2 linked regions of the Oryza sativa Japonica Group genome follow. The protein of the gene in region 2 interacts with the protein of the main gene of each other region in a biochemical or structural test. Links are inferred from orthologs where the notes say so. Each region holds a gene or a part of one and is shown on either strand. Other genes may lie near its edges. The genes, in order: histone deacetylase 6 and WD-40 repeat-containing protein MSI4.

Region 1 (2,841 bases), on a different chromosome or scaffold from region 2:
GTACATTGTTTATCGTCTCTCATCTTTATGAGAATGTCCTAACTACCATACCAAACAACCTAACACAAACCAACATGAATTCATCTTGATAAGGTTCCTTCCAGGTGATTGTTTGGTAGCATCTATCCCTTGCGGCAGCACATCTCTAGTGCCGTTGCAAATCACACACAAGGTGTTCAGTGTGTGTTAGCAGAGGACACGTTTTGCGTCAACACAGTCCACTGCAAGTTAAGCTACAACATGAATTATTATCCATCAGCTTTCTTGATGAACGGACCAGATTATAGCTACAGCAACGCTTCTACAGTGACCTACAGTAGCTGTTATAGTATCGAATGAATAATGTCCTTAGATTCGATCTCACAGCGGGCAGTGGAATGCATGAAGTTGCCCCCAACTACACCTGATCCGAATGACCACGCCTTTCAACGACAACGGACAACGCCTTCCAACGACCAACAATGGACAATCAACAGTTCAACACGCCTTCCAACGACAACTATAATAGCAGTTTCATTTCAAAAAATAAAGAAAAAAAAAGAAGCAGCCGCAGCAGCTATGCTGGGAATTCACTTGAACTAATTTTCCCTTCAGGCATTCTTTAATCAAAATATGAATGACAATGCGGTTCAGATGGATTTCAAATGCCACAAAAAATAAGTTTGGACAGGCTAGGGGGAACTGATTGCGGATCTGCGGTATGAGTTCAACACATCGGAGAAGTATGAACATAAAAGAACTATAAATCCATATCAGCGCAAGAATCATTCTAGCATACACTCCTCTGGCACAAACCATTTGAGGATGTGCCGCCGACTAACCAGAATTACCGACATGCTTGAAAGTTAGAAGCACCCAAAAAAGCATTCATTGTTTTGCAAAATGGTCAGGCGCAGATATCAGACATCTTCAGATACTTTCCTTGTTCTTCAGCATGCACGTACAAATCAGGAGTGCTGAGAACCAGAATCGCAGGATCTCTTCTAGGAATCATCATTCGATTCATCCTGCACGAATAACACTGAACTTTAGGCACTATGATCTTCCAAAAATAGCGCTAGCAACATACGGAGTTTTGCCATAACAAGCTGCAAGCTATTTTATTTGTTATTGCTATATACTCCCTCTATTCCAAAATATTAGGCACAACCATTTTTTTTTCAGATATTTCATAATACAAGGCGTGCATGCATGCAAATAATTAACTAGCACCTCTTCTCAACTAAATTATTGTTTTTTAAATCCTTTATCCTCAAGATCTCTAATCTTATTAGGTGCATGAATTGTATTTATTAGAGTGATCCAAACGAAGAGATGAAAATAATTGTTTCTTGGTCTTTGGGTTAAGGATGATAGTGCCTTATATTTTGGAATGGAGAGTATATGCTTGAGTGCTCACTTTGTCAATCTAAACTTAATTCATTAGTTAGATGGTTAAAATTTAACGTCAATAACAGAGAATATTCATCACTATTACGGCATCAACTAGAAATTCTCAAGAACAAAGTACACTATAGGATGGAAGAAAGATTCTCATAAGCATAAGTTCAAACCTTCATGACAGAGCTGGCAGATAAGTCATTGGTCTCAGTTTTCATGTTGTCAGGATCCTCTGTATCAGATTCATAAGCTCCTCCACTCCATAACCTACTGCGCTGAGGTGGTCTCTTGTCCATGTCCTCCTCTTCCTACAAGAGCACATTCTCAAATTTGCACAACAAAGCAAGAAAACGAATTAACAGAATAATACAAAATTATGCCAAGAGAGTAACCTGCTCTGGAGCTTCAGGATCTGATGGTCTGTCATGGAACTGAGTGCTCGGAACATGCTCAATTTTTGAGAGATGATCCAATATCATGCTCCTGCAGATCAGTCAAATGACAAAAATACATTAACCACTACAGAAAGGAAATGAACACAAGAAGCAGTGAGAAAATGGACCCTAGCAACAAAGTGCAAGGAGCGATGAAAGTGGTTTTCACATGATCTACATTTGAAAATTACAGAATATGGGAACACACTTCAAAAAGATACAGTCACAAATTCATACAGGGTAAAAAATGAAACATTAATTGAAGGTGTGAAGTTTCAGAGACATTCCAACATTTTATAGCAATGGTGATATGCTGAACAGTATAGATAGTGAATATGGAAACACCATTATAAATGACATGCTGAGAAAACTACTAAAAAACATCGCTTGAGGCACCCTACACAGAAGCTGATGGGCCAACTTATGGGAGAAAAAAAAAAGATGATTCAGCATATTGATAGAAACAGTCCACTTACTTTATGTTCTCCAGGTCTTTAGTCGAATTCAGGTTCTCCACACTTCTGGGTTGAATATGGAGATTATAATCAGGACCAAAGTACTCATAGTAGTCATTATAAGGTAACTTGTTATCAGGTTCAACTCCAACAGCAACTGCAGTCTATTGCAACAACCATATTCCATCAGAACTGTTCAGCATGAAACCAACAACTTCAATCAGTTGTACATGAAATAAGAGATAAAAGTAAGACCTCATAGCACCAGCAGCGAGCAACATTTCTGATGGTGTAACCCCCACCTCCCAAAACCATCATAGGAATATTGAATGACCTAAGGTAACGGAGGCAGTCTGCATGACCTTTCACAGACAGGTTGAAGCAACCTAACCTGTCTCCAGCCAAAGAGTCGGCTCCACACTGGAGAACAACTACATCTGGCTGATAAACCTCCATTACCTTTTTGATGATGCACTGGAACAGATCACGAAAGGTATCATCATCAATGCCATCACTCAGGGGCACATTTAAAGCATAATGTTTTCCTTCGCCTGCTCCAACATCAGTGATAT
Region 2 (3,927 bases):
GTCTTGACACCAGAACAATATGTGAATAAATACAAAAGGTGTGAGGGGTATAAACTAGAAAGATTTAAACATACAAGAAGACAAAATATTGCTAACCTCCAGATAACACATATGGCTCAGCTGGGCACATAGCAAGCGCAAACTCAGCAATATCCTTATGTCCTCTTAATATCTGTCAAAACAGTTTAAGCTACTAAGCCACAAGTGTGAAAAGGGAACTCGAACTATGAAAGATGAAAACCTTTCAATATATTCTATGATTCCATAACACAGTTTCTTAGGACTTGTGTGCAGATACACCAGATGAAGCTGCAATTTCAGCTTCTCAAAATGATATAGGTTGAGAATGAAAATAAGAAAAGATACCAAATCAGGGCGAGAGTCAGGTGGTACCAAATCAGGACGAGACTCCATCTGTGCCAGTTGAGCTTGTCTATTTGGCTGGGCCTCGACATCCCAAATGAGAACCTGCAAATGAACAAAAAAGCCTTCAGTCTACAAATCCATCACAGAAATGCTTAGGGATTGATGATCACAAGAAACGGGCAGCACTACAAAGTTCTAGGCATACATCTGGGCTGTCGGTATGAGTGGCAATGATCTTACTGTTCTGCGGAAGCTCCCTAATCCTGTTCACCTGTGTCCATGGTAAAACAGAAACAATACATCAACGATTGGGTTAAATAAATGTTGACGGGGACACGGGGTTAAACAAATAAAAGACACATCTCAAGCACTATCTCCAAAAGAAAAGCAAGCCATCTAAACCACTAAAGTTTATAGCCAATATATGCACCACACAACATGGAAGATCTCATACAGAGGCAATGATCCTCAAGTTAAGGAAAGAGAAATCAACAATCACGATTGAATGAGCTTGTACCTCGCCTGGATGAATTATAGTCTTGTACTTCTTTACAAAAGGTGATCGTGCTTCCTCATTGAACTGCAACAAAAAATAAGAGACATCCGGTCAGTTTCATTGTAAACAGACTTCAAGTTAGTGCAAGGAATTCCTAATTCAGGTCTTTTTAAGGCCAATGTAAGGCAGTCTCATACACCGCTATCACAAGACTGAAGTCATGCAAATCTAGATGTTCGAGTTATGACATTTTTATTAATTTAATAAGACAGATTAGGCATAGTAAACTATCAGTTGGTACTACAGGTCCACATCTCTGATTAATGATTACATTAAGATGGGAAGCTGACACCTCGGGTCAATTAAATCTGCAAAAAGGACCAGCTATGTCCATTCATCTCAAACGTAGCATGATTCTGCATTTTACAAACTCAAATGGGTCACTGAAAAAAGTGGAAACCTGAGATATATGTTCAGCAGCTGCAACCCTTGGTTTGACAACTTCACAATTTGCAATAACCAGAGTATTAGGGACAGTCCCATCCGTCTGCAACAATCACATGGTTAGCAAATGCTAAAGTTTAATATCCAACTAAGAATACATAAATTTTCTAGCTAAGAAGACCCATCTGCATATCTGAATTCAAACTTCACCATAAATTTGAGCTTCAAAACATCCCTACAGCAAAAGAAAGAAAAAGAACAACTTATTTTGGGAGCACTTGCCTGCTCTGAAAGGTAAAGACGCTGACGATTCTTGTAGGTAGCCTTCTCAAACTGGGGTCCCCACCTGTTAACAATTAATGATGAGAAGATCAAATCGTTAGTTGCAGAACCACTATTGAAGGTCAAAAGCACGACAGAATCCAACATGCACAGCTTTAAACCGAATTACAAGATGATATGTCACAACTCAACACAGAACAGGCACGGATAAAGCATGACAATCTAACTCTAAAACATAACAGGTAATCATATTATCGACTATATACTATATAGACAAAAATGGACGAGCAGCAACCCAGTAGCCATAAAATCTCGAAGGTAGACTCGCATCAGCAAGCATTACATGAACACGGAAGAATCGACCCTATTATATCGACTATATAGACAGAAATGGACGAACAGCAACCCACTAGCCATAAAATCTCGAAGGGAGACTCGCATCAGCAAGCATTACATGAACACGGAAGAATCGACCCACACCCCCCCCCCCCCAAAAAACACACACACCACCACCACCAAACTCAAACAAACAGTCGCATCCCACAAAACCTCCCCGTCCCAAAAACCCTAACATCCCAACCGGGGCCGGGACATCCTCACCCCACTGCCATCCCCGCCAAATCACCATGCAAGCGACAGATCTGGAGTCACCGAAGCAGAGCCACGCCCTAAAACCCTAGATACAGTCCCCCAAAAACCCTAGCCCGAAATGGATCTCCACGGAGGACGATGGCTACGAGACGCGCGGGAAACCGCCGGAAGGGAGGAAGGAAGGGAGGAGATGCGGGGAATTTTACCGGCAGGAGAGGGACGGCCAGACGAGGTTGTGGTTGGCGAACCAGTCGTAGAGCACCGGGATGAGCGACTTCCACTGCGCGTAGCGCTCGTCCACCGCCGCCCTCGACCCCTTCTCCTTCATCTCCAGCGCGCCCTTCGCCGCTCGCTGGCGCCCGCCGCCGCCGCCGTCGCCCGCTCCCGCCTCCGAACCCCCTCGCGCTGTCACGCTCTCTCTGTCGTATGAGGAGCGTTTGCTCTGGACCCTTGCGCGTGGCTCCCGCTCAGAGATGCCACCCCTCTTGTGCCCGAATGCAAGGGCAGAGCAGAGCATCCAAGGCTTGAAGCGGTCGAAACAAATGCGGCGCTGTGGGCTGGGCCCATTTGTATTGGGCCAACGGATGAATAGTGTGGGATAGGCCCATTTCTATCTGGGCGTAAAATGTCGGTTAGATAGAACTGGGTTTTTTTAAGAAAATAAAGGTGGTGTTTGAATCTCCTGAAGATGAAGATGAAGATTAAAATTAAGTGTTTCACACAAAATGGAGTGGTAATAATGTGTGATTAATTAAGTTTTAATTATTACAAACTTAAAAAACGGATTGATTTGATATTTTAGAACAACCTTTTCACACGAAACGTATCGTTTAACAGTTTGAAAAGCGTGCCACGAGTATCCAAAATTTAATCCAAAAGTTGTTGGAGAAAAGAACAGGGCATACACTCACAGCTATCATATAAACACGTCCGAAAAACTAAACCAGTATATCTTGAGATAGAACTGATATTGATAGTACTCCCTCCGTCCTAAAATATAAGCACAGGTTCTTAGCTAAAAATGCTTATATTTTGGGACGGAGGTAGTAGATGGTAGCATAAGCTATCTGTACTAAGGTTGTGTTTGTTTATTTATGATGACGCTCTCTCTCATGGCCTGATCTTCTGGTGAGAGGATAACTCTCACTTTGATCAGTGTGACGTTTGTGACGTAGCTATCAACCAGAGCAAGTCGAGGACGCCGTGCAAATCGGTACACCACAAACGATGTCATACTAACCGTGACATATGGTTGATGATCCCTGCAATGCAAACGAGTGAACATTGCAAGAATAAGATAAGATTCAATCTAAATATTGCGGAAAAGTGATTAAGCACAGAGAAATAGTTGTGATTGAAGTGGTAGATCTAATCGAACCAACAAATCAACACACCAACTATTGGGGCTCTGAATTAATAATCGCTGACTAATCGAGTGAGGAACCGGCAAATCAACACGCCAACTATTGGGGGCTCTGAATCAATAGTCGCCAACTAATGAGGACTAGAGACAACATGAAGAGAGAATCTCTTATATACCACTGAAAATTGGTCGGATCTCTTGTATGCCACTGAAAAATGGCTCTTCCCCTATATGCCACTGGTCCAAATTTATGCACCCTCTCATGCCACTCTCGCCTGTTGACCGTTAACTCTCAAGTAAAAAAGATATATTTGCCCTTCTAAGTTTAGGACATGCCTAACAACTCAGAAGGGCAAACATGTCTTTTTTACTTGAGAGTTAACTA

The links.
Region 1: the proteins of WD-40 repeat-containing protein MSI4 (region 2) and histone deacetylase 6 form a complex in vitro, tested with the Arabidopsis thaliana proteins (2 studies listed by BioGRID). The link is inferred for Oryza sativa Japonica Group from reciprocal best matches to the Arabidopsis thaliana genes FVE and HDA6.

Annotation. Positions count from the first base shown.
Region 1 is NC_089042.1:15,633,682-15,636,522, reverse strand, and holds the end of histone deacetylase 6, read right to left. Parts: coding exon 2,525-2,841; intron 2,434-2,524; coding exon 2,291-2,433; intron 1,864-2,290; coding exon 1,773-1,863; intron 1,689-1,772; coding exon 1,554-1,688; intron 1,008-1,553; coding exon 984-1,007; 3' UTR 569-983; downstream 1-568. UniProt on the Arabidopsis thaliana protein: Responsible for the deacetylation of lysine residues on the N-terminal part of the core histones (H2A, H2B, H3 and H4). Might remove acetyl residues only from specific targets, such as rDNA repeats or complex transgenes.
Region 2 is NC_089035.1:30,088,139-30,092,065, reverse strand, and holds the start of WD-40 repeat-containing protein MSI4, read right to left. Parts: upstream 2,735-3,927; 5' UTR 2,697-2,734; coding exon 2,386-2,696; intron 1,653-2,385; coding exon 1,589-1,652; intron 1,410-1,588; coding exon 1,323-1,409; intron 947-1,322; coding exon 884-946; intron 638-883; coding exon 572-637; intron 469-571; coding exon 367-468; intron 173-366; coding exon 97-172; intron 1-96. UniProt on the Arabidopsis thaliana protein: Core histone-binding subunit that may target chromatin assembly factors, chromatin remodeling factors and histone deacetylases to their histone substrates in a manner that is regulated by nucleosomal DNA.